Linked DNA regions of Drosophila melanogaster. The gene in region 4 interacts genetically with the main gene of each other region. Each region holds a gene or a part of one and is shown on either strand. Other genes may lie near its edges.

The links.
Region 1: of sv (region 4) and lz, changing one enhances a phenotype caused by changing the other (phenotypic enhancement), as found in Drosophila melanogaster (2 studies listed by BioGRID).
Region 2: of sv (region 4) and Myc, changing one suppresses a phenotype caused by changing the other (phenotypic suppression), as found in Drosophila melanogaster (one study listed by BioGRID).
Region 3: of sv (region 4) and rg, changing one enhances a phenotype caused by changing the other (phenotypic enhancement), as found in Drosophila melanogaster (one study listed by BioGRID).

What each region holds. Positions count from the first base shown.
Region 1 is NC_004354.4:9,280,806-9,289,393, reverse strand, and holds the start of lz (lozenge), read right to left. Parts: upstream 4,746-8,588; 5' UTR 4,658-4,745; intron 3,608-4,657; 5' UTR 3,474-3,607; coding exon 2,612-3,473; intron 1,063-2,611; coding exon 823-1,062; intron 1-822. Other genes in the region: c11.1, read left to right, coding at 6,445-6,601, 7,766-7,943, 8,007-8,588. UniProt on the Drosophila melanogaster protein: Involved in prepatterning photoreceptor precursors in the developing eye; in the larval eye disk it defines a subset of cells as an equipotential group that is competent to respond to the sevenless developmental signal and another subset that confer proper photoreceptor identity by positively regulating the homeo box gene Bar.
Region 2 is NC_004354.4:3,369,391-3,377,789, forward strand, and holds the start of Myc (Myc), read left to right. Parts: upstream 1-3,768; 5' UTR 3,769-4,333; intron 4,334-5,549; exon of another isoform or gene 5,550-5,553; 5' UTR 5,554-5,615; coding exon 5,616-6,843; intron 6,844-8,399. UniProt on the Drosophila melanogaster protein: Participates in the regulation of gene transcription. Binds DNA in a non-specific manner, yet also specifically recognizes the core sequence CAC[GA]TG. Seems to activate the transcription of growth-related genes; required for cellular proliferation and growth.
Region 3 is NC_004354.4:5,082,228-5,090,836, forward strand, and holds the start of rg (rugose), read left to right. Parts: upstream 1-3,531; 5' UTR 3,532-3,974; intron 3,975-7,114; 5' UTR 7,115-7,759; coding exon 7,760-7,918; intron 7,919-8,609.
Region 4 is NC_004353.4:1,085,786-1,094,042, forward strand, and holds the start of sv (shaven), read left to right. Parts: upstream 1-3,012; 5' UTR 3,013-3,277; intron 3,278-6,473; 5' UTR 6,474-6,500; coding exon 6,501-6,843; intron 6,844-8,257.

The DNA.
Region 1 (8,588 bases), on a different chromosome or scaffold from region 4:
TTCGGGGATCTGCTGGGAACAACGCTGTGTTGCACATTGCATGTTGTATGTGGCATGTTGCCCCGAGGACAGCGCCAACTTGCTGCCTAATGTGACGACTGCTGTACCATTGATCCTTTTCGCAGGCGGCATTAGTCACTCCAGAACTTCTGGCTTGTCACTCAATCAATGCACTTCCGATGCATTCATTACCTATTTTCGGGTGCACAAAAAGAAAATGCATTTGCCAACCAAATATTACATGCAAGTTACATAGCAAGTTATGAATTCATACTTCAAGTTACAAATTTTGTTAGAGTTTTATCATCATATACTTGATGATGAAGTGTGCGTTACAGAAGTAACTCTCAATAAAAAAAAGTCTTTAGAAATTAAAGCCATATTAAGTTAATTATGCATACATAATTGAACGTATTACGCATCATTTTCATTCAGTGTAATTTGAAGAAAGTTTGAAAGGATAAACCTACAGCTTCCGCTCGTTTGAAGTTGTGGGAAGCATTCTTTGGGCTCGCAATAATCGGCATTTGGCAAAGGAAGTGCTGATTGCAGTGCTCGAGGAAGTCTTTAATTTTCAGAAATGTTATATAGTCAACCAAAACACAAAGGTGATATAAAGTGCTATAAAGTATATAAGTTATATATAGATCATTTTCATCAGTTATTAGAAATTACTATATATTATCCTGATCTGATCCTGATTCACAGAAGATAGTTAGTTTACCAACTCCTTTCTTTTTCACACCGCCTACCGTTTGCACTTCTTCTCTCCATTTTAGCTTATAATTCCCAAGTGACCGTTCGGACAGCACTGCAACTCACCTCTTCCGCTGCGTCCCACGAAACGCAGATCATTGAACTTGGCCACGTCGTTCTTCATCTGGGTGGTGAAGTTGCGCAGCTCCGCGCAGCAATTCTCATCGTTTCCCGCCCGGATGGTGACATAGGTGCCATCGCCCACTTCCGCCAGAGCGACGACCTTGAAGGCCATCGGCAGCGTCTTGTTGGAGCGCCAATGGGCGGGCAGGGCGGAGCACAGGAAGTACGGATTGCTCGTGCGCACTGGAAAATGAAGAAAGTGGGTAAAAAAAAAAAAAAATCAGGATAAATCAGTTTGGTTTTAATTAGCCAAGGGTTCGCTGATTAAAATCACATTTTCACGGCCATCAAAAATATTCAATTATTTATAGTTTCGTGTCGGTCCATAAATATCAATCATCGTGGATACTGAACACTGGATGCAGGATGCTGGATACTGGGTCCTTCGACCATCGACTCGCCATCCGGCGGTGCATAATTAATTAATGAGCGGGGAGATGTCAAACGGAACGGAACGAACGGACCGGACCGGAAGGGGTTATCGGTTATCAGATGACGTTTGACTGTTGACCTGGTGTCGAAAGTAGAGCAAAGTGTGGAGAGCTGGGCTGGCTGAATAAATGATTTATTTACTCGCGACTGGCGCGCAAAATAGACCGAAATATGGACATCTAATTGCTGATAATCATTAAATTTAATTTGTCACACCGCTGTAGGTTTGGAAATCATGTTTTACATAGGTGTCAGGAATCAAATGTGCGCTGCCCTGAAAACCAAACTGTGTAATAATAAATTGTAATAGACTAGGCACATCCAGATCCTGATTGAATCCCATAGGTACGATACTAACTCAAATGGAATGGAATATAAATATTACTTTAAGACAAGAGTGTAAAGTCCTGATAGTTGCAATTCGATATGAAGGCTATCCATTGAGCACAAGTTATGAAAGGACTCAGAAGTGAAAAAAAAAATCATATAGGATAACCAGTTTGCGGATTCCCCAGCTAATTTCAAGACTGACGGTGCGATGAGCTGAGATTTCATTAGCAGCTTTCGCTCTGGGTCATTGATATCATTGATAAATCGGGAGGAAAGTTCAACGGGCAGCAAGGAATAAGAAAAAAAAAAAAAAGGTGGCATTAACAAAATAAAAAAGGGGAACGACTCGTGCGTTGATATCAATAACAATTATTGATATCAATTTACGCATATTCCGACGGCGATGCCAGTCCCATCTTCACTGGCATCACCATCATCATCGCCATCGGTATCATCATCACGATCATCATACCCATGGAATCCGATAAGGCTGCGTCCGATGATCGTGATTGCCACGATGTGGAAGCCCCAGAAGTGCATTGTGCAAGGATGTGGCAAGAATGTGCGCTCCACCTTTCGGGGATCGGATTATCGAACAGACCTGCAAAGCATCCACCAGATCCCCTCGACACGAGCTAAAGATGCTGATACCTTGTGAATGGAAGAGCTGTCTCCGCAGAGGCTTGCCTTGATATATATATCTATCTATCAATCTTATATTCATAAGATATATTATATCAAGAACCATAGATCATATTGGGAATCTGGTAGCAAAGAATTTGCTATTTACAGTTAGTAAGCTAAATCCCTCTGTTCAATCAATTTTGTTCACGGGAAATTACAAATCCAGTTAGACTATATCTTCATATTCACTTTGATTTTGAAGGACATTAAGGTAGCTATTAATCCTTAACCCTTTTGCAGACTGTGTTACTACTAGGTTATTGGTAATATCCCACCAACAACTCACCCAATTCGCCGGGATGTTCCTGTTGTCGCTTCTGTACCAATCGCTCCATCCACAATAGATCCTGGTGAACGGCGTTGTTATTGTTGCTATTGCTATTGCTGGCACCGTTGTTGTTGTTGTTGCTGGCGGTACTACTGCTGTGACCGCCGGTGTGTCCACTATGCCCACTATGGGCTGTACCATTGCTGGCGCCACCTGTGGGCGAGCTGCTGCCAACACTGGCACTACTCGAAACGGCCAAAACCTCAGCGGCTGTGGCGCCCGTGGATGCAGTGGCGCCCTGGGTGGCACCACCTACGCCGCCGCCAGTGGCCGTCGCCACCGCTGTGATGCCCTTGAAGTCGCCGGTGGAGCTGCTCCAGCCGTTGCCCGTCGGCGATGTGGATGACGATGTGACCATGGCCGGCGGATGTGGTCCTGCCGGCGGATACGGATACGGTGGGTGGTGGTGGTGGTGGTGGTGGGGCGCGTGCGGATGCGGTGGGTGGTAGGGGTGGGCGTGGTGGTACGGTGAGTAGTGGTGGTGCAGGTGGTGATGGTGGTGGCTGCCGCCGCTGCCGTTGATGCTGCGACCCAGGCGGCCGGGACCGGCAACGCTGACGGGCGCCACAGTGGTGCTGTGGTCCGCCACCAATTCCTGGCCCAGTCCCAATCCCAAGCCCAGTCCCAATCCGAGTCCGAGTCCGTATCCGGAAGCCAATGGCAAGCCCAGCTGCAATTGCGATTCCGTTTGCGATGCCAAGTCCAATTGCGACTCCCCAGCAGCGCCCGTATGCCCAGATGGAGATGCTGATGGAGTTGGAGTTGGATTTGGAGATGGAGATGGAGGCGTCTTCTCTGCCGCCAGGAGATGCAAATGCATTCGTCGACGGCGGTGACCTTTGATCCGCTCGCTTGCCCCTTTTTTTCTTGCAGTGTGTGCGGGTCGCAGGTCAAGCGCTTATCACACTTCGCTCCGGCGGTGTCTTTTGTTCACTCATCAATAAACTCTAATCTCTAAACGAATTCACAGAAAAAAAAAAGCGTACTTAACAATTGTTTGCAATTGCACTTACGATATGAGAAAGATTCGTGTTTAATTGAAAACTTAAAATGCCGATCGATTCATTAAAAACAATCCATGACAACATCTCAAATTTGTTTCATATTAAGCAATTTAATTAAAGTACATATAGAAACAGTTCACTGGCGTACGTTTAAATAAAGAAATAATTGCAAAAAACAATATATATAAATTTAAAAAATGATTAAAAATATGTTTGCCTTTCTGAATACATATTAAATAACTGCGAGTACTACGACGATCGACATTTTGCTAGTTCGCACTTTGATAAATTAGTCACAGGAATTAGCGGTGCATTTGTTGCTATTGTTGTTTTTTCTTTCTCTTTTTTGAGCATGCTTTTGCCAGATGATTTCTGAACTTAATTAAATTTGATTTCGTTTGATTTGGATATTTTTATTGTTTGCACTTCACTCGGCTAATTAGTAATACTCTATGTTTGACTCCCGATTCGCAGACGGGCCTCCTTTTCTCGAGTTTAACTTTGATGATATTTCTGGGAATCGGTGTAAAAACAATATAGTACAATATAAACATTTAATGTTCACAACTGATCTCCCAAGTAATCATAAATGGTTGTAAAAGAGTCAGTTATTTGTTTATTCAAACAATGTATAAGAAGCTTTTACAATTACTATTGTATATTATTTGTTTGAGAACAAGCAACAAAGTAAACAAATTATTTCACAGTCGCAAAATAAAGCCTTAAAAAATATGAACTTAAGTTTTTGTCATAAAAACATTGCCTTAATTCGTTTGTGTCACCATTTATCACTTTTATTTTGTTACTAACTGCACTTAATAGCACTTTGGTTTGTGTTTAGTTTAATGTAAAACTGTTTAACAATATGTTTGAATGCAAGTTTCTGGCGAAACTGTGTCGCTCTTTTGTTTAAATTTAGTTGGTGACGAAATTCGAGTTAATAACTAAAAGTTAGCCGATTTTGGCGCGCTTTTTGTTTACTACTTTGTTTAACACTTACACACACACTTAGTTTACTTTCTTCGGTATTTCTTTAAGTGACTTAAGCACAAGTTACAAAAAAAAAGGGTTAACACGTAAGCGAGGTGTTATTTTCTTGTGTTTCTTTCAGTCGATTAAAAACTTCGCTAACAATGGAAACAATAATGCTCGCGCGTCGTACTCCAAAACATAACTGAAACTGACTTTTAACTTTTGACTGCGCCGCTTGAATTTCGCGAGACGATTGAGCTCGGCTCTGAGTCGAATCCAATCGTTTTTCCACTTGCCTCGCGAGCCAATTGGAACGAGAACGACTCTCTTTGGCCGGGGCGTTTTGGGTCTCTTAAGTTGCTCGCTCTCTCTCTCTCTCTCTCTCTCTTGCTCTTCTGTAAATGCATGGCCTAGTATGTGCATTGTGACAAGTCACCATTCCACGCAGTGCTGTTGCATCAAATTTTTAATAAATTTCGCTAAAAATAATAGAATTTAAATGCTTAATCAAATAAACAGTTGCTCTCCCTCTCGCTCGCTCCTGCGTTTCCCTTGCACTTGGCACCGCCCCCGGATTCTGATTGGTCAGGTGGACATGGCATTTGAGGCGCGCCATTGGTGGACACATTTTCATCCACCACCGGCTGCAACCACTTCCAATTGGAATCGCATTTAAGCGCGCTCTCTTTAATCAGCTGAGAGCGTGACGACTTAAGAGCGGCGCTCTTGTTCAGCCGGGAAATTTCGAAAATATTTAGGAGCTGGATATGATTAGATTTTCATGAGAAAATAAATAAGTTGTGTTTTTTTTTTTATTATTTTATTTAAAATTTAACATACATGTATTTAAAACGCACTTATGGAAAATTGTATTCATATAGATACATTTTGGATATTAGAGATGAAAATCAGAGAATCTACTTTAAAACTGATACTTAACATGCTTATCAAATCTGCTATTATCGCAAAAAGTGTTAATTAAAAACTGTGTGTTGTTGCTAGCGCAAAGAAAACAAGGATTCCAAATGACATGTGTTCTTTTTAGCGAAGGAAAGGCGTGATAAGAGACTATCATTGGGCCATATTTTGTGGTTCAGCCTTGGTTTGTGGTCGAAATACTGATATCGAATTAAAATAACAACGCAGAGTTCTTATGATTTTAAAAAGTGTTTATTTTAAATTTACCTCCGACTTATCACATCGAAGGGAAATAGTTCTTATCGCTGGGAATATAATAGCGTGAGAAGAACGTCAGCTTATCTGCGAGGGCAGAAATTGCGAGAAAATCAAATGTCTATGCTATTTAATTTCAGAAGTGCTATCAAGTGATTAAAATTAAGCATTTCAATTGCTCTCAAATACTTTCAAAACTACCTCAAAAGCGTTTTTTCCTTTAATATTGTATTAGTATGCTGTACTGCCTGTGTAGCTTAAAATTTAAAATTTACTTAATTGCTAATTCCGTATAATAAAACGAGACTGTATGCATAACTATTATTTTATACACAGTACATTTGAATTTCATTTTTATGGTCATCTATGGTTTGCGCCACCACTGAACAGTGAGGGCACACACCATGTTCGGAAGCCCAACTAGTCCATGGTGTTGATAAAAAACGTACTAAAATTTCCACAGCCGTTTTTCCCCTATGTGAGTGCAGCCACCCGTTTTAAACACAAACAATTTCGCAACGCAGTGAATCTCTTGTTTTTCCGAGTTTTTCCGCGATCGCGAAGTGCGCGTTAAAGTTAATCGCTGTCTGAAATCCCGTTAAGCTGGAGAAGTGGAAGAGAACGCGCAATTCCACCAAGAAGATGGACGGCCGAGGGGTTGGCGGCGGTGGTAGTGGTGCTGCCACAGGGGGAGGATCCGCCAACAACAAATCAGCTGCTGGAAATAGCGCCGCCACTGGAAATGCCGATGCATCTACCGCCACAGCGGCGCCCAATGATAAGCCAACGATTCTGGAAGGTAAGCAAACGAAAATGCAAATGAAAATGAAAACAAAGGGAACACTGCCTAATCCCATAGATAAAGATAAAGATAAAGATGGACCCATGGAATCTTTTATTAGAAAGCGCACACACACACAAGCACAAGTGCTGAGAGCGATTTAGCGTGAAATGGGCGTTTTGCCCGTCCACCCCACCCACTCCAATTGGGATTTGTGATTAGGCGAAGCGCAGTCTTTTGTCCTGTTCTAAAAATAGAACTACGCATTAGGCACAACGCACACATGAGCGCCCAAAAGTAACGGGGAATCCTTTTAGCGAAAGGAGAGCAGCTAAATAACTCTATTTTCGTATCTATGTACGTGTGTATTATGGGGACCTGTTGAGTGTGTGAAGCCCTAAAAAATCATCTAGAACACGTTTATGAGCAAGACAAATCAATACAACAACATTTCACAATTACACCCACAAATTGCACTCAATTCGATTTGATTAATCATCTGCATGCGTAAGTGTGTGTTTTTTTTTGTTTTACAGCTAATTGTTGGAATAAGAACAAAAATAACATTGCAATGCGAAAAGTCCTCTAGAGTATCGCTTGTCCAGTCCAATTGGACTTTTGTATCTCTGGGATGACGTGTATTTTTGACCATCCCAATCAGCTGATTCCAGCATTTCGTTTGGTTTTTGCCATTTTCTAGCCTTTTTCATTTTATTGATAGATGCTTATATGATGTGAAGCTCTTTAATTTATGCGAATGCGTCAGACAATTTGAATTCTTATCAGAATATAAGTACTGAAAGTGCCCACAGTTGTGTTCAATGAAATAGGGGTATGCATTTTTCAATGTTGTAAAATGGCTCATATAATTTAATTCGAAATCAACCTATCATCCATTTAAATCCGTGAATCAATGTGGTTTTTGCCACTTCTGCTATCTTTGCAGTTTGTGCACCTTATGTAAATACGGCTCTATGTAGTGTTAACTTGACTTTGATCTAGTTACTCGTGTTACTGAGTGTAGTCCATTGTTCTGCTATTTGCTAGCTCTAGCTGAAATTAGTCATTTGTTTTAAACGATATCTTAGCTTTGACTTAACACAAGCCAACTAAATTTTGGATTATATTCCATATGATCTGATTTAAGAAATCAAATTTAAAACATTTGTTGCCCTTTTGCAGGCGTTCTCCACAACATCTTCGATGGGCTGATGGACAAGGAGGAGCAGGTGCGGATTGCCATGCAGCAGGCGATCGTGAAGATCTTGGAGACCCATCCGGAACGGGCTGCGGAGATCCTCAGCGAACATCGATCGCAGCAGCCGAAGATGACCGATCAAACAGTGGCCATGTTGTTGGAGTAGGTTTCCCTTTGACATCAGCAATTAAAAGCTGTTCTAATCCCTACCTTTCTATATTTCAGCTGCATTCGTCGCGTGGTGGGAGCGGAAACTCCTCTGCCGCCGGCTGCAAATCAGAAACTTATTGATCTTGCGCTGCAGGAGCTCACCAAGAATCCCGAGCATTTGCCACTCATACAGAATCCCGCCCAGCGCATCCTGGTAGCCATCGGACGGAGCAGCCCAGAGAGTTGTGAGCAGGTAATGGAGGCGCTCCAGGAGAAGGGAACAAGTACAGAAGGTGTGGCTCACTTTATGCTGATGCAGTGCCTCGGTCTGCTGGCCACTGAGAATCCGGCAGGGGTTGTGCCCCACATAAAGGCCATATTGAGCCGTAGTCAGCCGCATCTAGTCGGGATACGCCAGGATCACATCAAGCAGGCACATGCCTATGCCATCGGTAGATTCAGTGAGGCTCTACTGGAGGAGAGCGGCAAAAAGGAGGAGGAGAACTGCTCCACGGAGATCAGTGTGGCCTACGATGTGCTCTTCAATCAATGGCTGCACTCCCGGGAGCCAAAGGTTTGCGTGGAGATACTGCAGGCCCTGTCCAGCATGTATCCACTGCTGCCCAAAGACCGGATTCAGGATCAGGCCGCCCGATT
Region 2 (8,399 bases), on a different chromosome or scaffold from region 4:
TTGAAATTCTCCATTATTTTAACATACTATTTTACAACATTCATATGAAATCTTTCTTACCTTTTGCTCGTCAACATTTCTTGTCAACAGTGTTTCGGCAACATTTGAGTTTGCTTGGCCACAGTGTTTCTGCAACAAAAAGAGGGGAAACTTAAAAAAAACTCACTCATTTCGTTCTGTGATACACTGTATATGAGGCTTTTGCTTTTGCATTGTTTTGATTTTTTTCAATCTAGTGTGCCGTTATAAAATCGCCACGCTGCACTTTTGTTTTGCCATTTACGCTCTTGGCGAATTTGTTGTGTGAGCATGTGAGTGTGTGTGTGTGTGTGTGTGAGCGCAACTGTACCGGCGTCTTCTTTCTTCGTCCTTTTTCTTTCGTGACGAAGCTTTTTGTTGTTTTTGCAGCTGCCGTTTTCGCCCTTTCTATTCACCTTCCAACATCTTATGTCTGTCTTCACACTTACATTCTAGGCGTATATTTGGAAGTGCACATGCAAAACGGCAAAAAAAATCGAGAGCGAAGATAAAGACGAAGAAGACAACGAAATAATTTGTAAGAAAAAAATGTGTAAATTAAAGCGGAAGAGTCGACGAATGGCATGTCGACCATATTTGTACAGAATAATTTTCATTTAAGTTGAGAGCAAATGGACTACAAAACCTGACACATATTAACTAAATGATACATACTTTATGAACCTATGTACTTATTTAACATTTAACATTAGCATTTAAAAATGGAATAAATACTTACACATACATATTCTATACTTCGACTGTGCTAGCTATTTGTGCTAAAATACTCGAGTTCTTGACCTCCTCAAATAAATTATAATTGAAGGTTTGCTTATGCGTTATCTTCTAATACGATTGGCGTCTAAATAGATGGATGGCGCCAAAAAGGGAATGACAAATAACATACAATTGTACGTACATATATACACATATACATATACACGCATGTACGGTACACCTTGCAAACGTTGAGTTTCTATGAATATTTGAATGAATATTTTTAGTATTTATGTAATGACATGAATCCATCCATACAATCAAAATACCTGTAAAACTTTCCTTATTGCGTATTATAATAAAAGTACCTACAATTCGAAATAACACTTAAAGAGAGGGTGTGATTTTTCGTCGCCTTAGATTTGAACGTATTTTTACGTTTTTGTAGTAAAATACCAATACATGGGTAACGTGAAAAAAAATAAGAAGTCGAAGATAGCGACATTGTTGCAAAAGAAAGACTAGTGCGCAATGCAATTTACGATTATTCGCCTTATCAATGGAAGGCGATCGTTTCTGGCCTACGGTGAGCATAACTGCAACTGCAAGGCCCCGGCATTATCGCAAAACAATTACGCCGGGTACACCTGTCGACGCTGGCGTCAAAGTTACATTGTTGCTGCACGTGTAGACCGTTAAATGCCGAGTCAAATGCGCCTGCGAATGGGATGAACCTCATTCTAGTACTAGTACTATCAATACACTCAATAAGGTTGTGCATACAACGTAACCTGCTAATGCTAATATGTATGTATGTACATATGTATATTTATGTACTTACATTTCACTTTCCTGAGTTGCTCCATTCTTTCTATATTTTCGATGTTTCCCATAACTGCCGGTTTATTCGATTTACTGCCAATGCATTGCATTTTTACGGCCAATTTTTTGAAAGCTTGCAAATTCTTGACAAACTAGATATGGAAACTCGGCAGCCACTTGCTGCCGTTATTTACGCAGTTGTTTTATCTCGCCATGCACACTTTCCATTTACCCGCGAAACAAAAAAAAAGTGCAGAAAATAGTTTAATACTATTACAAAAACAAGCAGCACACGCAAACATAAATTGCGCAAACATCGAAACACAAGAAATATTACTTATTGAAATCGAGAACTTGGACGGACAAAAGCTCGCAAATTGCGGGACCATTTCTTTTTGTCTGTGACGCAGTTGTACCCTGTAAAAGTGGAGCATATCGCTTTTTGCCAACGAATGGCTGTTTGTATGCTTATGGATACTAAAGCGGAATGTTGGAAGGTGAATTTTATTGGGCTGTTTGTGATTTCCATTGACAGAAGAATTAAACAATTTTTTTTTTTTTTTAATATGTCGCTTGTACAAACAATTAATTAAATGTGCAAATTGCAGAGTAGTTGGGCGAGTGTGCAGCGTGCATTTTTTTTTTGCTGGTTCGCCTCGTTGCGAAATCAAAACAAAGCGTGTGAAAGAGAGGGCAGATGCACGCGCCAAAAGCGCTATGTTGTGCACTAAAAGTTGTGGAAATGAAAATCAAAGCGAAACGTAACAAAATCGACGGGGTGTAGAAAGCGGGAGGAACTTTGCGTCGGAACCACCTGATGATTTAATACTCTCTAAAAGGGGCAAAATTCAAAATGCAGGTCCTTTCAAGTCGATTTTTAAAGGTTGATATATGTGTACATATGTACATATTTGTGCGATAAACATATGTACACATGCACAAATCATTATTTGTATGTAGTACACATACTATGTACATTGTATTTTACAAACAGTTATTAAGAAGTTTGTTGGAATGTGCATACATACATATGTATGTATGTATGTAGAGACGTATGCTTGTGCATGTTATATTCTATTTTTCATTCAAGGTCCCCTTGCTTCCTATCCGCCTTTACCTTATTACCCTTTTCTACTTCTTCCACAACTTCTTCTTTCCAAAGTTGTAATATTTTTGGCTGGTTTCTATTCTTTTCCCTTTCTTTTTACATTTCCTTGGCATCGTTTAATTCGTTAACAAAATGTTTGGCTCTTCTTTTGTTTCTACCATGCGGCCTAACTTTTCTATTATTGTTAAATGAATTCTGCATTGTTTACAAAGTTCACAAGTTCAATCAACTTGACAAAACGGAAAATGAAGTTGCGTGGCAGACAAAGAGGTGACAAAGGCACACACGCACATAAAAAAAAGTACGGTAAATGCATGCATAGATAAAGGAAAGGGCAAGAAGGAAATACGAAAGAAATGTAAGGCGCCAAAGCAAGAGGGAATGAACAACTTCTCGCAACTTCTACGCAAAAAGGAATAGAGCTTAAAATAAATCGATTTAAAAATAGGAAACATTTATGCGGCAATGAAGAATCCCAAATAATGCCACAGAAAAGCAATTGAAACCTGTAGTTTTATGTCGATTAACATTAACATAAATAAATGCGTATATTTATAAATTTAATTTCTATATTTTAATATACATACCGTAAGTAAATTAAGGAAATGAATAAAATTTTGTTTTGATTTCCAGTCAACTACACATTTTCGTATTGCATTTATTTCACAAAAACATTTTGAGCCAGTTCAAGTTAATTGTTTATGTTTTTATTTACGGAGCAATTTGCGATTTGTCTCAATTTTGTTTGCGCTCAATTATTGTAAACACCACTCAAAAATCTCACTCTCTTTCACTCAAAAAAAAAATACCGGCAAACTGATGCTGTTATGTGAACCAGTGTGCGGGAGAGGCAAAGAAACATTGATCATTTTAAATGCATTGCGTACTATTTGAAAACCTTCGAGTATTAACAAATCGTGATGAATCCAAATGTGATCTAAATGTGATCCAAATGTCAAAGAAGATTTTTGTTGAAGCTCCTATTCTCACCACTTAAAGCGAATTCCAGCAAAGAGAGCAGCAGTGAGCATGCGCAGTGAGAGCGCAGAGAGCGCGGCAGTCTGGTACGATAGAAATTTTATTTAAGCCACAGACAACATGAAACGGGCACTATTTCTGTGGCGTCGCGTGTTCAGTTCACCGCGGGTAATTCAGAGAATCGCTTTGTGGATTGGATTTTTGCCTGTTTTCCGCCCGATACAAAAAAAAAAAACCAAACGCTATATAAATAGTTCTGTAGTAAAACCTGAAGCAACACGTTTTAAAATATACAACTACTACTAACAACTGTCACAGCCAAGTTACAAAAGTGCTAAATCCCAGAAATAACCTAAGAGCCGACTTAAAACCGCGCAAATACATAAAAAAAAATCTTCTCCAAAGCAGAAACAAAAACTTGTGAAAAACTAGAATTAAAAAAAGATTTTTTAAAAAAAATCAGCTAGTGCAAAATAAACGGGAAGAATTTTTTTTTGTGTCCCTTTTTTTGGTGTTTTTTCTCCGTCTTTCCCCTTCTTTGACGCAAAAAAAAAAGTGCCCAACTTGCTGGCGGCACGGGAACGGGATAGAAATAGATATAGCCGAAAGCGACTGGAAAGCAAAGGAAGCTAACTAAATTGGATTACAATCAATTAAATAGAGACGGATACGGAAACTATGTTCAGCGAGGTGAGTGCAAAGATATATATATATAATATATATTATTTATCGGAACGCAACGACTTCAAAAATCGCGCCACTACGGGGAATTCAAAATAGAATTTCTGGGAAAGGTGAAATAGCTTAACTTTTAACGGTGCTCTCACACACAATGACAAATCAGTGATCATGGCCGCACAAATCGATACGAAATAACGGATTCTAGGAACTCAGAAGGAATGTTAAGAATCAAGTGCTTACAAGAAATTAAGAACAAAAAGTGAGACAATAGAAAAGTGGAAGTGGACGAATTTTGCAAAACAAAATTCTACAAAGTTCTTTATTGTTTTGTGAAATTCTTCTTAATGCTGGCAAGTATTAAAAACGCTTTGATGGCGTTGAAACGAGTTGGTAATGTTCGAAAATTCCAGAACTCTGGGGCTCCAAAGTAATTAAATAAAATGGTCCCAAAATTTTTACGAAAGTATTAAACTTTTTAAAGGAGAAATAAATCAATTAATTAAAAAAAGAAATAAATTAGCTTGATAAATTAAAAAAGAAATAAATTAGCTTGATAAATTAAAAAAGAAATAAATTAGCTTAATAAATTTAAAAAGATTTAAATAATAATTTAATAAATGTTGATATTCCAATTTTACTATGATTCTGAAATTCAATATATACCGGGTTGCGTTCGATTCTGCGAAAGACATGTACTGTTAGTTTTTGCTCGTACTTGTTTACCGGAATGCAACGGATTCTACGAAAAGGGAAAAGCACAGTAAGCTTTGCAGGTCTGCGTTTATCGGTAAAAGGACCGTTTATTTTTCAGTAACTGGAATTGGGTATTTGATATTTGGTTTTCCTTTTATGCCCTTGTTTATTTCATTAGTATATGTATTTTTTTTTTTTTTTTGCTATTGTCAAGAGCGCCAAGATTGACGATTTCGGGTTCAAATGGTTAATAGTGTATAAATGAAGCTATAAGCTAAATTTGCTTTTGATAACATTTGCTGAACCCTCGACATCGCCTGACGTCATTATAGGTGAAATCTGGCACAGTAGAACGTGACTTAATACAATAATAATATTAGGAGTTTAGTTACTCTTACATTATAGTTGAAATGTTGCAAAAATCCTTATGTTGAAGAAGTTTTCAAAAAGTGTGTTGCCGACATATTTATTTAATTAAGTTCAAATATAGAATCATACCTACAACGATTTCCGCCTTATCTATATTTTTCAGACAGGCATATAACTCAGGAACTTAAGATATATAGAAAGAAAAAAAAACCCAGACAACATAATCGCAATGGCCCTTTACCGCTCTGATCCGTATTCCATAATGGACGACCAACTTTTTTCAAATATTTCAATATTCGATATGGATAATGATCTGTACGATATGGACAAACTCCTTTCGTCGTCCACCATTCAGAGTGATCTCGAGAAGATCGAGGACATGGAAAGTGTATTTCAAGACTATGACTTAGAGGAGGATATGAAGCCAGAGATCCGCAACATCGACTGCATGTGGCCGGCGATGTCCAGCTGTTTGACCAGCGGTAACGGTAATGGAATAGAGAGCGGAAACAGTGCAGCCTCGTCGTACAGCGAAACCGGTGCCGTATCCCTGGCGATGGTTTCCGGCTCTACGAATCTCTACAGCGCGTATCAACGATCGCAGACGACAGATAACACCCAGTCAAATCAACAGCATGTCGTCAACAGTGCCGAGAACATGCCGGTGATCATCAAGAAGGAGCTCGCAGATCTGGACTACACGGTCTGTCAGAAGCGCCTCCGTTTGAGCGGCGGTGACAAGAAGTCACAGATCCAGGACGAGGTCCATTTAATACCGCCCGGCGGAAGTTTGCTCCGCAAGCGGAACAACCAGGACATTATCCGCAAATCGGGCGAATTGAGCGGCAGCGATAGCATAAAATACCAGAGACCAGACACACCTCACAGTCTTACCGACGAGGTGGCCGCCTCAGAGTTTAGACATAACGTCGACTTGCGTGCCTGCGTGATGGGCAGCAATAATATCTCGCTGACCGGCAATGATAGCGATGTCAACTACATTAAGCAAATCAGCAGGGAGCTTCAGAATACCGGCAAGGATCCGTTGCCGGTGCGTTACATCCCGCCGATCAACGATGTCCTCGATGTGCTCAACCAGCATTCCAATTCGACGGGTGGCCAACAGCAGTTGAACCAACAGCAACTGGACGAGCAACAACAGGCCATCGATATAGCCACTGGACGCAACACAGTGGATTCTCCGCCGACGACCGGCTCTGATAGTGACTCCGATGACGGTGAACCCCTCAACTTTGACCTGCGCCATCATCGCACTAGCAAAAGCGGCAGCAATGCCAGCATCACCACCAACAACAACAACAGCAACAACAAAAACAACAAATTGAAGAACAACAGCAACGGCATGCTGCACATGATGCACATCACCGATCACAGCTACACGCGCTGCAACGATATGGTGGACGATGGTCCCAATTTGGAGACCCCCTCAGATTCCGGTGAGTCAAATTTATATACTTTTCATATGCCCCATTTTCATCAATATTGGAAGCTTAAAGTCCGAATGTCTTACAAGAAATACAAAATGGTCTGGTCGTTGGATGCATGGCAAAACAGTAGAGATTAGTTAGATCCCTGGGGATGCATTAAAATTTAGTTTACGCCTGAGTCAGTCTAAAACGCCTACCAAAAGTGGCATACTAATTACAACGTCGTGGGGCGGCCGATTAGTTTACAACCGGCCACATGACCCCCCGCCCGCCCGCACATTCATCCATCCTTTGGGTGTTGCACATTCAACTAGTGTTCGCACTTCCGTTTCGTGTGGGTGCAGAGTAACGCCCAAACGCACAAGTACGCTGTATACCATAGGCAACCGGAAAATCGATTGGCGGAAAACGCCTACGTCAACAGCAAACGTAGTAAACTTGTTACGTTGCACAAAAAAAAAAAAACAATAAAAAAGAGAAGAAAAAACCCGCCCACGCGACGCCGGCGTCTGTCTGCGGTGGTTTTCCATTTCCCCCATTGATTTTTGTGCTTTTCGCTGCGATGTGCTTGTATGCTCAATGCTCTGAGCTCTTGCTCTGGACTTTCCTTTATGATTTTTCCCACTTGCCACCCACAATGGGGAAAATGTTGGCGCGGCGCGTGGCTTTCATGGCTCATTGTGTTTATTTGCTCCATGGCGTCATCCTCTCTCTTCCGAAAAACTTATCACCCGGGGGATGATGATGATGTTCTTGCGCAGAACTACGCCCAGAATAAAAAGAACCCATATATATATATATACTACATATATAATATATATATTTACATATATATATGTACTACAATTTCTCTCTTTTGGGCCAACACCCCAATTTACTTGGCTTTTCCTTTCCGGGCTGTTGTTGTGCGAATTTCAAGGATGTCTGGTCACTGGCCACGTGGCAGACAGCCCCAAAATTTTCCTACCTCCTTGGCGGCATTTTCTCTAACAACTCGTGTATGCGCCGAAAATACGGGATATTTGCCCGTGACTAGAAACAAGAATAAATCTTGCCCATCAAAAAAAGATTTATTATGCCATTAATAATGCAGAAAAAAAAGTAAAATATTGTACTTCTCAATAATTTAAGAGGGAAACTACATTAAAAAAAAGTCCAGCTAGAATACGTGTTTTTCATATCTATATTTTTATAGTACTCCTACCTACTTGTTTTATTTGTGCCGGCGAGTTCAATGTCTGGCTCTCTTTCTCTCTTTTTGGCGCGCAAATCGTTATCCATTGAGCAACCCTCGCAAGCTTACGTCACGTCAATCATCTTGATTTTTACTACGTCTTACGCTACAACTACAACTGCGCATGCAACTACGTGTGCATTTTCTACTACAATGACTACTACAACTACAACTACTACTACTACTACGCTATGGAGCCGGTGTGGGCGTAAGCTTTTTGCCGCCGCTCATTAAAAAAAATATATGGTAAATAATAGCGGGAAATCAAGAAGGGGCTAGAGGTGGGGCAATGCAAGGGATAAATTAAACTTGGATTATAAAATATTTACCA
Region 3 (8,609 bases), on a different chromosome or scaffold from region 4:
TTTGATTACTAACTGTAAGTGAGATGTAGAAAAATCAGGTAAATTATACACGTTTTTGCTGCTGTTAACAATTAAATGCGTTTTACGAAATCCGATTTTCCACCCACACTCACACACACACACCAGTGCGCGCCTTGGAAATAAAAACAAAAAATTAATTTTAGCTTTTCCCCCCACTCTCTCTCTCACCATCTCTCACACACACACACATTCACAGGTTTTTCACTTTTGCTCCATTTTTCTTTCGGTTTTTTTTGGGGAAGTCTCTCCTCTCCCTTGCTCACACTTTTTGACCTTTTCGATTGTTCTTCTTTTGCCTTTTTCTTTTGCCACTGCTGTTCGTTCCTTTGGTTTTATGTTGCGTTTATTAACTTGCTAATTGTTTAGTTCGTTTTATTGAATTTGTTTGCGTTATTTTTTTGCCATTTCTTTTTCGGTTTCGTTTTTTTTTTTGCAAGGCAGCAACAACAACGAACGACGAGACAATTAGCGGCTGCGCTGCTTCTTCTTCTTCTGCTGCTGCTTGCTCTCCTACTCTGATTCCTATTCTTCTTCTTCTTCGTCCGTGTTTCCCAGCCGATTTTTGCTCCCCCGCGAGTAGTTTTTCTTTGGCTTTCCCCCGTTCGCCTTTTGTTGTTGCCGTTTTCCACACACCCGCTTTACTTTTCACATCCGCAAGCTCGTTTTTCCCTTTCGCGCTGTTCTTCCACACTGTTCAATAATAACAAAAAAATATTTGCTTGTGTGTGAATTTTTGCCTCCCTGGGTCTTACTACGCTCGTGTGTGTGAGTTAGTGTTGCGCAGGGTTGCATTCGGCGGTCAGTGTTGGTAAACGAACGGGCGATGGCGCGCAATTTCGTGCAATATTCAAAAAGTTAATTGGTTTTCGGTTGGCCCGCACACAAAACAACGTTACTTTTATTTCGTTTTTCTTTTTGGTTCTTGTCCTACTCCGTTTCGCCTTTTTTTTTGCCTTTCTTACCCTTTTTAAACACCCACACAACTTCGTTCTCACTCACAACACAAAACCAAAATATACAGCAGGGGTCAATGAAATAGTATTATCAGGTACATCTTACTCAACATCTATTAATTTTTCCTTAAACAGATTATTTTTAAATAAGAAATGAAAAACAACATTTAATTATTATTATTAATTTAATAGGGGCTTAGTACACGCATTTTAAGATCATACTACAAGCGAGCATCTACTTTCAAAAGAAGGCCGTCTTAACGAATTCCCTATTCTCTCGGCCACAACTGTTCCTAAAAGGACTGCCAGAACTTGGAGCCCAAAAAGGGAGCACAAAAAGAGGACGTTGTTGGGCGGGGGAGCAGGGGGAGAGCTGACCTAACAAGCGGAAATACATAGGCACAAAAGAAATACGCCAAAAGGCAGTCGGCGTGAGCGAGAAGGATGGAAAATGGTCGAATTGCGCGAGAGCGAAAGAGGGGACGCTAGCGCGTCATACGTTGCACAGTGGAGCGAAATAGGTGATAATAAAACAACAAACTCATTAATATTACATTTAAAACATTAATTTAGTGCCTATGAGTTCACTGGAGCGTGAAAATTCGAAATTTGTTAGAACACCTAGTCTGCGCGTCCCACTGTGCGATGGGGCCCGCAGCGGGGGGCGACAAAAGGCGTGAGAGGTGGAGAAGCCGTTTTATTTCGACAGTTTCTGAATTGTGCTCTCTCTCACTCACTCACTCTCCTTCTCCATCTTGCTTCTCCCTTTTTTCGAGTGCTGCTCCTGGAAAGATGAGGAGCAAGAGGAAGAAAACATCATCACCTTGGAAGAAAAAAATTTTCAGTGGGAAATAATTCGCTTCGTTTTTTTTTTGGTCTTTTCATTTGGTGGGTAGTGGGTGGTTTTATTGCTCAGTGATTTTTCGCCGGGCGGCGACGGGTGGTGAAGTTTTTGGGGGTTGAAAGCACACACACACACACTAACGCAAACATCAGCAAAATAAAGGGCTAACAAGGGTTAAAAAATATCCGCACAACAAAATAATAGCAGATAAAAAAAAACTAAATGAAATTCACACACAAAGGCAGCTGGAATCCTCTCCCCCACACAACCACACACGCACACTCAAAGAAAAGAGAACTAGTTCTTTTGTTTTTCTCTTTTCGTAACTAGTGGATAACTACTTCCATGCCATACATCCATATATATAAATTTACATATTTATTTAATTGTTTATATTTTTTAGCTGGCGCCGCTCTCTTGCCCTCTCTCCATCACACATTATTCGCACTTCACGCGCACGCACACACACACACTCGCACATGCTCGACACGCACACTCCTTTCGCTTTTCCATCGGTTTTTACTCACACTTAACATCACATTTTCGTTTGTTTGCGGGGTGTGTGCAATGCAGTTGGTTTAGTTTATCAGTGGTTTTAGTTTGTTATGTTTTTTACAGTTGCTTTAATTGCGTTTTATCGCCTTTTTGTTTTGTTTTTTATTTTTTATGAAAGGTTGGTAATGTGACCAAAGCCTGATGCTTAGAGATGGAATAACTAAAGCGATACTGGCAACAGTCACTATCGATACTTTGTAGGTACATCGATACATCGAAAGGAGGTGCAATTGCCAAATATTTAAAACCTAAAACTAAAACTGAAAATACTAAAATACTTACTTGATGTCTGGGCACACTGAAACTGGGTTTTTGAATTTTTACCGGTTTTTTATACACAGAAACACGAAATGCCGCCGTTTTATAGCCGTTTTTCAATTAACCTGAATCAGTCTATTCGAACAATTAAATAACTTGACAATTGACGTTGGCAAAAATGTAAAAGTAATTCGCATTGTAGCTGATGTTATATGAATTTTACAATGCTTGGTTCTGTCATGCGATGAAATAATATCATTTTACATTCATTTAGAATCGACAAAGAACCATTCAAAACAGTATTCTCTTGTTCACTAGCTTATTTTTTCACATTCACATCACTTTTCGAACAGTTGTAAAATTTCGAAAAACTGTAATACACGCGCCCGGCAATAGGAAACCAAAATTTCCCTTCTATCAGCTGTTCTTAACTGAGAGAGCAAATTTGTCGCTCCGAAATAAAAATCGTTATCGGTTTCGGTTATTCTCGATTTAAAAAAAAAGCCAGTTTCTCTTGTAATTTTCACATTTTAGACATGCCAAGACAAACAATTTTTTAACACATTTATCAATAATCTCGATTTTATAAGTACATATTCCTATATATAAATTGTAGCTTAAACTTTAACCGTTTCCGACCGATTGACATTCAAAGTTATCGTATGTGGAAATGCTCAATAAAAAGTATTAGCTCTATTCCATCAAAAAATACGTTTCTTGCGAACAGTAGGAAATAGATAATTGTACTACTTTTATTTGCACGTGAACACTTCGCGAAAGCACAATAGATTTTTGTAAATGGCGGCATATCGATTAATCCATATCGCAGCTATCGCTATCGGAGCTCATTCGTTCAATTCAATTCCAATTCACTCTGTTTTTCGCAGCGCGCGCGGAAAGAACAGTAAGAGGAGCGGATAAGGCGAGAAGCCGAAAAACAGAGGACTGAAGCGAGAAAACCGAATCAAAAGGCACACAACGCTGACCAGAATCGTGAATTATACGAAAATAAGAATCCATAAAATGCGGAGGTGAAATACGTGAAATAATTCAATTAAATCATTTTTGCGGACAACACGGCGACCAAAATTAAATTAAATTCAAATAAAATAAAATTAAAAAAAAGAGAGAAATGGTTGTATATTGTTGTTACGTGAACGTTGCGCTTTTGAATTTATGAATCAATTCGTTATTGCCTCCCGCCGCGTCTTATTTTACTCATTTGTTTTTTTGCCACTTTTTTTTACTGTGTATGTGCGAAGACAACAACAATAATGGTAACAGAAGCAACAGCAACAACGGCCAAACATAAACAACAACAGTAAACACTCGAAGAAAACAACGTAAATATCAAGTTTTACGCTCTCCCAATTACGTTACGTTAAGATCATTTTTTTTTGTTGTTGTTGTGTGTTTTTGTGTGATTTTTTGAATATGCCTTTATTTTCGGTCCCTAAGTTCTCAACATTTACGCCTCCTGGGTTTCGGGTTCAATTTCGTTCGGCTCCACTGTTTAGTTAGTTGGTCCAATTAGCATTTCGGTGTCGCTGTGTGTTTGCTTATTGGAATATGACAAAATCCAACAAAGCGGTGCAAAATAATAAGATAAAAAAAAAAAATACGCAGCAGTGGCAAGAAGCAGAAAAAGCCGCAACGTAGCGAGAGAGAATTTCCTTCGCGTTTCATTGATTTTTCCCACTGAAAAGGTGAGAATAGCGTTGCGTTGAGTGGGAGAGCGAGAGGAACAGAGAGAGAGAGAGCGAGAGCGAGAGCGAGCATGGAAAGCCAGGAAAACAAAGGAAAAGGAAAAACTTGTCTCGGCGTGACTGCAATTCATAATTAGACGGCCGCCTGCTGCAATTGCAATAAAAACAAAGCCAAATACAAATACAAAAACCCAAAAACGGGTTACCGCTACCCGTCCGCCACCACCTCTCCGCCCCCATCCACGTAAAAAAACCACCACCAAAACCAAATTTTGTCTCTCTTTCGGCCACCAACAAAAAGTTGGGTAAAAAAAACAACGACAATACACAACAAAAACAACAAAGAGAGAACGTGGGCAAAACGACGGGAATTTAGTTGTAGTTTAGGCCGAAATTGAAAGACCCTACGTTTTCGAATGGTTTTAAAAGAATGATTTTAAACATATTTCGCGTTTTCTTCAAATACATTTTATTTGATTACTGCAATTAAAAGTTTAAAATGCTATTTGGTAAAATAATTATACACATTTTATGCATCAAATCGATGAAGGATATGGCTTAAAACATATCTAATGTAATTTAAACGTAAAAACTTAAGATTGTTGAAAATCCTATTGAAACAATCCGAGTAATGTCCGGATGAATATACACTTAAAACAATTTAAGACACATTCGTTTACCAACGCAGTGGCAGGAAGTTCAGTTGGCGGTTCCATGGATCTTTTTGATCGATTGAACGCGTGACTTTCATTTCCAACTGGCATTGCATCTTTATTTCGTAACGAAATTACCAACTTTTTCTCTCTCCCTCTCCATATCTCTCTCTCTCTCACACGCTGGCTCTCGCCATAAAAAAAAAAAAAAACAACTACAAAAAGTGGTAGCAGCTCAAAGCCAAAAAGCAAAGCAAATAAAACGCATGGAGACTCGCTCTCGCTATTGGAATTTTTTTTCTGTTGACGTGCAATTAGCAAAGTGGCCGCATTAACAAATCCGCAGTCAGAACTTCATATTAAATTAAAAAAAAAAAAACAAAAATTAAGAAATACAAAATAAAATCACCTGCTCTAGCTAAACAGCAGCAAAGTAATAAAGTAAAGAAAAAAGAACGAACTACAAACCAGCGGCTAGATTTTGAAAGAAAACAAAAGTTAATATCAAGAAAACCAGTCAACGTTGCTTTGCCCGTTTTTTTGCCACGCCGGTTTTTCTTCTTTGCCTGTTTACGTTGTTTCGTTTCGTTTCGTTACGAATTATTTCTTCACTTAAGTACTGCTTAAATGCATTAAATGCATATTGTAAAAAAGAGCTTATTCCCGTAGTGAAAGAATGTGCAACTGCATTTGTTGTAAGCCCCCCTTAAAACTCCCAACTTGCTACCAATTTTCCAACCCCCCACCTCCTTACCATAAGTATTACGTAATATTGGCAGCCATTTCCGGTATTTTAAAATGCATACATATGCATTTAGAGGGTTATTCCCAAAAGTCAGTCCACCGATTTTCACCTATCTCGAAATGGATTGCAAACAGAATGGTGCCTAATTGAATGTACCCGCCTTGTTGGGCACTTTTCCGATAATACCGCTCGCCCCCCCCCCCCCTCCCTTTCCGCCGCTCAAAGAGTTTTCTTTTAACACACAGCTGTGTTGCTTTTATGGGCCCATCCATCGCCAGCTGAATCAGAAGCACACCTTGTTCTTCAGGTGTGTCAGCTTATATATGTATGTACGTATGCTATTTTCTTTACTTTTTTTTTTTTTTTTTTAACTATCCCCGCTCAATGGTGTTTGCCGAGCAGTTTAGAACTTGGCTACCTCGCCGCTTTTCCCAGGCTTTTCCAGCACTTTGAGTAACCCGGCGGGTTAATAACCCCAGTCTTATCGCCAGTGCGTGACGAGCCGCGAAAACTATAGGTTCCCTATATGTAGTACATACATATGCGCATATATCTTTTATAGCCGAGCTAATGAAATCGATGATCGAGCAAGATTTTTCCAATATATAATAGCACTAACTATATAGCACTCTGCGACGTGGTATTACATAAATCTGATTCTGGATCGTGCCGGTAGTTAATGCAAGTCAAAAAAAAAAAAAAAAAAAAAAAAAAAACGAAAAAAAAACAGTAACAAATAAAACGAAAATTATAAATGCACATAAATTCCCCAGACAATTTTCCACTTTACTCTGTGAGCAGCCAAGAAGCGAATGAATAATGGAACGAAAATTTGCTCCATCAAGCACGTGTAGCCAAACGCCCCCCCCCCTTTTTCCCCTTCCTCACCCCGGAAAATGGGCGCTCGCTTTCCACGCCCCGGGAAAACCACTAGCCTGCAAAACCTGCTAACCGAGAAACCAAAAACATCACCCATGGCAGATCAAACGAATATTTCGAATATTGCTTTGTAGCTGGGCTACATATGTATATGTAAAATGGGAATTTAATTTAGTTTTTTACGTACCTACTCATTTTAATGTTGATAAGTCAAAACCAAAAGTACAGTGCGTTTCGTGTGCCTGAAAATTTAAATTAATCGTAGTGATAATGTAAATAGAAAGCATTGCATCGACTATGACGACCTAAGCGTATGAAACGCACTGTGCTCGCAAAATTGCCAGCGTTATTGCATTTCGTACTCATGTACCTGTTTCTCTTTCTCTCTCTTTTTTTTATGTATGTCACCACCACCACCACCACCACCACAACCACCAACCACACCAAAAATCACCAAAACCTCAATCAAAATAATGTATGACCAAAAAAAAACAAAAAAGTGTGCAATTCCAAATAAATAACCGAGTATTATTATATAAAAAATAATGCAAAATTTGTCAAGTGTCGACGGCCGAAGTTGCTCAATATGAGCCAAAAAAGTAGCAGCGACCACGACGGCAATTCAGCTGCCCCACAACAACAACAGCAACAGCAACAACAACAACAGCGACTGCAACTGCAACTGCAACAGCGAATGAAAATCGGAAGAGTGCAGCAACACAAATGATGCACATATGAATGAAAAGAGAAAATCAAAATAGCAAAAAGAAATCCAGCCAAAAGAAAAAAAATAATAATTTTTTCCTCCCCTCCAATTGCCTGGCAATATCTAATTGTTTATATAAATATATATATATATATATAGCATTACCATCTTCATATATATTTATTATATATATGTAAATGTATTATATATTTGTGTATCTGTGTGTGTATTTTCGTGTGCATTCCATCCATTAATTCTATAACTTAATCTATATAAAAAAAAAAAAAAAAAAACAAATTAAAAAAAAACAAACCAAAACCCAAACAAACAATCAAACCAAATCGCATGTGCAACGCGTAAAACAAATGAACAAATAATTTACAATTCACACACATCGTGCAACAAACACAACAATCTGAACCACAAACCGTGCACCAAAATGGCGGACATCATGCGTCCGCCGTACAGTGAGATCAAACGGCCGGACGAAATCGTCAGAATGACAACCGCCGACAATCTCAAGTTCGCCGTCCTCATTGGCCTCATCGAGGTTGGCCAGGTGACCAACCGGGAGGTGGTCAACACCGTTCTGCATTTGGTAAGTGCTAGTTACAGCCAATTAGCCGAAAAGGCCACACACACATATTTCCAACAGGTTTTTATCGCGTTCGAGCAACTAGAGTTGATGCCGATAAATATTGTTACACGATAGCGATAATGTCGATCTTTTCAATTGATTATGTTTTGTTTGCCAAAATATTAGAAAATTAGCCAAATTAGCTAGCATATTTATAGCGCATTATTTCGTTAGCAATTGTGCTTTAAAAGTGGTAAACAAGGGTCATTGCTTTTGTGGGTCACGGCATTGAGGCGAGATCAAAATAGTGATTCGGCCAAAACACTTTGGCCAAAACTAGTTCAATAGTTCAAGCACATGGCTAATGGGTTTCATATACACATACACTTTAGCATCATTTCTAACTTAAACAACCATTAACAAACAGAATATATTTTAATCTCTTAAAGCGCGTCATCAATTTATAAAACAAATAGCATTAAAATTAATAATATTCATGCAGGCCAATGCAAGTCACACAAAAAAAAAAAGGAAAAAAAAAAACACCCAATGCAGTTTAATTACATTCAGGTGTTGCAATGTTGCGTAAATAAAATTAAAATCAAATTATGTCAATGCAAACACACATTCAGCCACATTTAATTTGGCTTGGAAACTTAAAGAGCCGACAATTAAAACGAAAGAAGTGCAGAGAATCTCGACAGCAATTTAA
Region 4 (8,257 bases):
ACACACGGATACACGGACATACGGACAAGGCCAGATCGATTCGGCTATTGATCCTGATCACACTTTATATGGTTGGAAACGCTTCCTTCTGGTTGTTACATACTTTCCAAATGTGAAATTCGAGTAAGTATTCTATTATTTTGCTGATTTTAGTTATGCAAATCGATATAAGGAAAAGCCCAGCAGATAATATTTCTTTATCCTTTACTTGTTAACAAAAAAAGGGTAAACCGTACTCTCTGAAGAATATTTAACAGAAAGAACAAAGAGGATGTATACGTAACTTCACCGGAATACCTACAATTATTGGCTACATTTACTTTTTACTTCCTTCGAAACGATTGCATCAAACTAGAAATAGAATACGAATATTTTGTTGTTGGTTGTTTTCATCATATACATACATGTACATAGACATAACAAATAAATAATTTACGTTTTGATACAAGCAAAAGCCTCGTAGGAGTTACTAGAATCTGGACGGATAACTTCAATTTTTTGATATCTATAGTTTTATAGGTTTTGACTTTTATAAAGATGGACCGACGGACAAGGGGACTGACTGGCATGTATCGGTCGTCTACGTTAGTGGCACGGGTTAAAAAACTTTATCCAAGACATTGTTTTAATTGGAAGAGTATATAAACCTTAGTTTGCCGATATCATGTTATTCTGGTTTTATGTGCTATCGACTTGTTAAAGCCCCTTCTGTCTGTATGTATTAACTTTCGGCTCCCGAAAATCTCCGGAAATAACTATATGTATTATTCCGGGAAAGAGTATACCAACAAAGTAAGTAGTATAAATAAATAGTACATAACATAATATATACAGCAGTAGCATTTCCAGTACCTAGCAGCCAAAAACAACCAAAAGAAACGGCGGAAAAGCTGTCTCGGTTGGCTTGCAGACCGTGAAAAGCCACGAGCCACGATTGAAATACCGAATTTCATACCAAAACATATGAATACCGATTGTTTATATCAAAAGCTACCAGGCGAATTCTACAAAAATATTTATATACTTACATATACACACATACACACATATGAACACAAATAGTTACCCACCGTTTAGCATGCGGAATAACCAAAGAAAAGCCTTCTAAATGAAAAGCTACTAAAAAAAATTTTCGAATATTTTTTTAGAGCTTATATTGGTCAGAATTCTTCATATAAATACATACATATATAATAACATAATAATAATATTTAAGATCATTGAACTTTTGCTAGTGACTTAACACCAGTTTTGGTACTAATGCACGAATTAACCACGTAAGGAGTATATATAAGCAGAAAGGAAAATTAACAGAGGCGCGATCGAAGGGTAGGTTTTTTCCGGTTCGGTCTAACAGGTGTTTCACAAATAAAGCGCGGGCAACCGTCCAAGACATTTCCTTCGATCGCAAAAGAATTCAAGGGATGACGGTAAATGAACACCTGAATATTCTGTTGTGTACACTACATAATTCTGTAACATATTATTATACCCGTTACTCGTAGAATAAAAGATAGATTCGTTGATAAGTATGTAACAGTTAGAAGAAAGCGTTTTCGACCATGTAAAGTATATATATCTTGATCAGGATCAATAGCCGAGTCGATCTGACCCTGTCCGCTTGTTGCTTCCAGAGACAAAGACGCACGGCAACGTCACTCTTTGATTTTTCAATATATTTAACAATATTTTGACATAAATGATAAAAGTTAAATCTTATTCTGATGTCTTTTCAGTCCCCTTTAAAGAGGACAAGTGGCTAGTAATATTGACTAAGTATGTTTATAAACTAATAGATTTCATAAATGAAAAAAAACTTTGTATTTGTATTTGTTTTTTTTATACGATAGTAACACCAGTCAGCTCTAAATTTTGAAACGGTTGAGTAATCTCTCTTCTCCCTTTCGTGTAGTTTGCAACGGTAGTCGAAGATTGCTTGGCACGCGCCGTCTTCTCTTTAATAGTTTGAGTACCAGCAGCCTGCTTTAGATCGTCGTTCAGGGATGCCAATTTAACTTTTTCTTGGTTTCACTACTCTGACGAAAATGTGGATTATTTTTGTATGCATGGAAGCATAGAAACAATATATGTATGTGTATATCATAAGGTAGTGCCGACTGTACTCCTAGTACACCTATGTATATTAAACGATTTATTTACAAACGTATATTACACATTTTCAAATATGTATGTATAAATATTTGTTCGCTTGTCAACCTGTAGAATGCAGGTCACTCAATGTAACAATACGCGATCCAGACGGTTAAAAGGGGGTTGATTACTTATGTATATAAACTGACTTAGCTTCCGTTCAACAAAATGTAGTTACTTCAAATTTAATACATAGTCTTGCGTTCACTTTTCGAGAGCCTGTTGTTAAATGCCAAAAGATAACACCTTTATATGTATCTAATAATAGGAATATTAAACCGGAACCAATAAATATAGGCCTTTAGTGGAAAACAATTAGACAAATATGGGTCAGCTGGACCTTAGGAAACTTTAAGCAGTCAGGACTGTAGGGTTATGAGATTGAGGTTTGACAGATATAAAAAAGAACGATCATAATCAGGGATATACCAAACGCTTCGAAGCGCTTTCTTCTTCCTTACAACGAATTTAGAATACCCATTTCCTATACGAGTAACGGGTATAAGCACTCCAACACTCTGATCATTAAGACCAAACAGGGGAAAACAAGAATACCATCTCATCCCTTCTCATTCAGTGACTTTAACTAATTTGTTCTCTTTCCTTTTCTCTATCACTCGTTCTGTTTGAAGCGGCGATCGTATTTCAAACCCAGCTTTTGCATCCGAACAACACGCTATGTCTCCCGATTAGTCGACCGCCAGTTGAGTGCGAATGTAGCCGACCAACCGTAAAGCCGCCTTGGGCCAAGTTTTGAGAGCGACTCAAACATATAAGCCATCATAAACACACTCAAAAAAGTGGTCGGCTGAGTTTGAGCGATGTAAACTGCTTCCGTCGTCCATTGCCATTCAACAATTTAGTTTCGCTCGAGATCTCTTGGCGTACGCTTCAAGATCCACCTGGAAATCGTGTTGCTTCGTGGATTTTTAGCCAACAGGTGGTTCGCGCTGTCTTTTTTACCTTTCAAGGCTTAGATTCCTTGACTCAGTGATGTTGTTAGTGTATAAATTCGTATTTGAACGTTTTCACTACCTTAACTGAGTGACGCTAAATAACTAATAATTTATTGAAATTCTTTAAAACAATTATATGTTAACCAATCTTTATAAAACGAAAATATTCAGTGAGTAAACTAATGCATAGTTTTAAATATATTAAGGTAAAAATAATTCCTTAATCATCCAAGTTATATAACATTAAACACTTAAGGCGCTTGAGCTCGGCTTTAAATATACTCCGAATTTGAACAGCTTATATTTACCCACGCTCCTGACCTTGGAATACTTGTTTTCTTTGTTTTCCTCGACTGTCTTAACTAAAAATTCTGGCTCCCCATAGCTATTATTCGGCTGGAGTGTGTGAAAATACAATTATTTTTCCCACTTTTAATTTTGTTGAATTGAATGAAGTATGGGTTTTATTCTGCCTGAATACCAGTTGGTAATGAAAATAACAAATTGTAGAAGCTCCAATGACCTCGTAACAGGACCGCTGTGCCCGACCGTGACTTTTAACTATATACTTCCAAATTCATTTAAAATTAATTTATAAAAAAAATTTAAAATTAATTAATTTTTTATTTATTATTATTATTATCAACAAGAAAATGTGTATATCGAATTCGAGCCCTTTATTCGAATTCGAACACAACAACAAAACTACAAAACTTGTACTACTAAACTTGTACTAACTAACTACTACCTGTTACTAATAGAGTAAAAGGGTACACCAGATTCGTTGAAAAGTTGAAAGGTAGATGGAAGTGTTTCCGACCATATAAAGTATATATATTCTTGATCAGAATCAATAGCCGAATCGATCTGACCTTGTCCGTATGTCCGTGTGTCCGTCTGACAGTCTGTCCGTCCGTATGAACGTCGAGATCTCAGGAACTACAAAAGCTAGAAGGTTGAGATTAAGCATACAGATTCTAGAGACATACACGCAGCACAAGGTATTGCCACGCCAACTGTTACGCCCAAAACTGCCACGCCATTGAAATATATTTTGAAATTTGTTCATATTTGTTTCCTAAATTTCTATCGATTTGCCATGCCCACTCTTACGCGTACAAACCGTTTAGAACTGCCACGCCCACATATTTGCAAAATGATATTTTTTCATATTTTCTTTAGTTTTTGTAAATTTATATCTACATTTTCTTTTTGCAACGCCCGCTGTTACGCCTACAAGCCGCCCAAGACTGCTACGACCACATTTTTGACCAAATTTTAAATTTTTTCTCATTTTTATCATTAAAAAAATAAGAAATGCGTTAGCTGAGTAACGGGTATCTGATAGTCGCGGAAGTCGACTGTAGGATTCTCTCTTGTTTTTTAAATTAATTTTCCTCGTGAATTATAAAAGCGGTGCAAGCTTGTTTCATACCTGTGCCACGCAGGCACTATATGTATTTTGATTTTTTATTGATTTTATTTTTTTGTCATTCTAATTTTTATCGACGAACCCCAAAATGTTCTCATAAAAAAATGGCTCCAATGTTATTAAACATTGCTGCTACTAGCTGATTAATAGGTATCTGATAGTCGGGGAACTCGACTTTAGCGCTCTTTCATTTTAGGCTATTTAGGAAACAATAAATGTAGAAAGAAAGCAGATGGCCTAAACGAACACATTTATTCCCATACCCATACACGTAGCTGACTCGATCATTTAGCTATATTGACCCTTAGGGGAGTGTCAGTCCCAAAAAGGTCAATTAACAACAGGTGAATAAGTGCTAGCAACCACGTTTGCGCGGGTTAAGGCTTCATTCGGCGGGAAGAAAGTGCACCTTGCCCTGGATAACAAGAGCGGATAGTGAAATAGTGAAATATATGTGTGCCATTGAAAGGTACGAATCACAAGAAAGATTGCTATAGTCAAGTTGGCCGACTATTAGATACCCGTTACGCAGCTAGTGGAAATGCCAAAGAGAAAATTTCATAAATTTTGGCTAAGCGATAAATATTGTGGAATAAAATTACTAAAAATTAAAAAAATGCTTATAAGTCTAAGCTCTTTGTTATAATAAAATTAATAAAATTATGAAAAAATATCCAAAAATTCTTCAAAAATGTAATCGAGGCAATTTTGTTTGTGGGCGTGGCAACAGGGGGGTATGTCTCTAGAATCTGTATGCTGAATCTCAACCTTCTAGCTTTTATAGTTCCTGAGATCTCGACGTTCATAGGGACAGACTGGCAAGGCCAGATCGGCTCGGCTATTGATCCTGATCAAGAATATATACACTATATATAGTCGGAGACGCTTCCTTCTGTCTGTTACACACTTTTCACAAAATCTTGTATACCCTTTCACTCTACGAGTAACGGGTATAAAAATATCATAATTTGGTCTGTTACTCGTAGAGTAAAATTAGTTGAAAAGTATGTAACAGGCAGAACGGATCGTTTCCTACCGTATGAAATACATACATTCTTGATCAGGATCAACAATCTGGCCATGGTCTGAACGCAGTGATCTAGGTAACTCTAATAGAAAGAAACGATTAAGATTAACAAGCAAATTTTAGAGCCACCTTCGCTGTATGATTTTTTTCCCAGCACTCACACTAGCTGAGTAACGAGTTTTTGATAGTCGAGGAAATCAACTTTAAAATTTCTAGTTATTCATAAATATGCCAAATCGGGATATACCATTTATATAAAAATACATTAATTTAGTTCATAGTTTCGCGTTTTCCATCATAAAATGCTCTTATTTGAATGTATCACTTTAAAACTTTCTTTATATATAGCTCGGTTGATTTAGTTCATTTATTAAAGCCATTACGTGTTGATTCGTTGAAAAGCAGAAGTGTTTTCGATCTTATAAAATATATATTCATAACTGTCTAGACGAGTCGATCTACAGATTCTAGTTGTAGTCATACGGCAAGATTATTTTAGATAATGAAGGCGTCCGCCACCCAACGCCTATAAACTTTCAGAAGCGTTATGACACATTAAAAAAAGAAAATTATTTTTTGTCATTTTACTAGTTGTGTTACCAAACATTTTGACTACGCCCACTCTATCACCCACAAACCGCGACGATAAGTGAAATATCTGATAGTCGAGCCATTCGACTATAGCATTTCCTGCTTGCCTTTAAAACAGTTTGAATGTCATTGCCGAATAAAATACATAACATTTGTTGTTAATTACACTTTAAGCAGAAGAATTTGATGAACTAACCAACAATTGTTTTGTGCAGACATATCCATTCCTTGCATAACTGCATAGGTCAACTGCTTTGGCTACGCTAATATCTCGTTGCTTTCATAATAAAAGAACCCACAATTTTCTGTATTCCAGGAACTTATACATTTTGTTGAATCTTTGATGCTTATAATGGATATACAGACATCGACACATCATATCCATGGGCTCGGAACACATGAGCTCCAACATCGTATTTTACATCCACACATTCTACATTCAACTCAAGAAGAAACCCTTAATACAAGTACAGGCCAGCTAGAGCACGATTCCCAACATCTGCAACAACATCACCTCACTCATCATCAGCAACAGGACGTTTCACCGACTTTGCACAATTTACAAAACACCCGCACTGGTGATAGCCTGAGCACTACTATTAATACAAATCAAAATCAACATGGTCATCAACATCTTTCCGGAAGTAACATGTATACCTCGTCTCAAATGGAAGATAAGTCAAAAGGTAACCAAAATACCATTGAAGAAGTCAAACTAATATCTTAATTTAATGCCTGATATCGGAGCTGCCCAGATCAGATCACTATATAATATAGGTGCTATATATAAGCTCTACTGTAAGATAAGATCTACTGTATTGTACAGCTGTACGTGAAACAATCGGAAAATATCAGTCGAATTAATGGAAATGAAATACTAGCTTCGTTTTTTGGATCATAAAACGTTCTAGTTCAGTATACAACAGTTTTTTGACAACATGGTATGTTATCCGTTTAAAATAAACAAAATATATATGAAAATATAAAACAGTAAATCATAGCTCATATCGGCTTTTCAACGCTAGCTCTCTTTCATGTTCAGATTTTTGTTTTAAAGCTGACGCATAAACCTTGAGTTTTGTACTGTAAACTTTTTAACTTTGAATTCTTAAGAACGAACGTTAAATAATTGATTTTATGACGAGAAATGCTTAGATTGATATATTCCTGTTTACTGTAACGATTAGACTAAAACAAAAGATTAAATTTTCATGCCATTAACATTTGTAGGGGATAAATGATGATCGGAGAAAGAAAAAGATGGTAATTCCAGTTGCAACCTTCCAAAACTAAAGAACAATAGCAATTGCAGAAAGAAGAGAAGGGAACATTTTAAACAAGTTCACAAGTGCAATGCACTTGGGCCGCGATTGAAAACCTTTTATATCCCCTTCCAAGATTTTGCTAGTGAATTCATATTCAAGTTGTATGAAAGCCTAAGGGACAAAAAATTAAAAGGTGTTTACTTCAAGTCACGGATTTTCGGTAAGGGGAAATTTACCATGTTCCCATTGGAATGCTCCACGATTTTCATCCCCGAGTTCTTAAACAACAAATAATATACACACATATGTTTTCCTTTTGTACACTAAAAAAAATTATAGAAATTTGTTCCTTTCCGTTATTTATGTTAAGATACAATTTAGTCATTCAGTTTGTTTTATAAAAATGTTGTATTTTTTCTAATTTTATTCCCCGATACCCAACGATATACCAGAAAAATAATGAAATTTCTACTGGCTAGGTAACGAGTATCTGATAGTCGGGGATCTGGAAATTTTTAAAATTTTTTCTCATTTTATTTTCCAATATCTTTCGATATGCCTGTAAAGATAATTTTCGCGTTTGCATTTCCAGTAGATGAGTAACTGGTATCTGTTAGTCGGGGAACTTGACTATAGCATTCTCATAAAAATCGATGCTTGTTTTTAACGAAATATTTGTAAAGATTTTTTGTGAGTGGAGTTGTCTCCCTCCAGCTCCAAGTGAGCTTATATTTAAATTTTCTCTTTTGCGCTTTCAATGAAAAAAAGAAATGAATTAAAGTTCAGCGAAACTATTATGTCTTTTTTAATTCTCAAAAAATTCTTCGATTGTTTC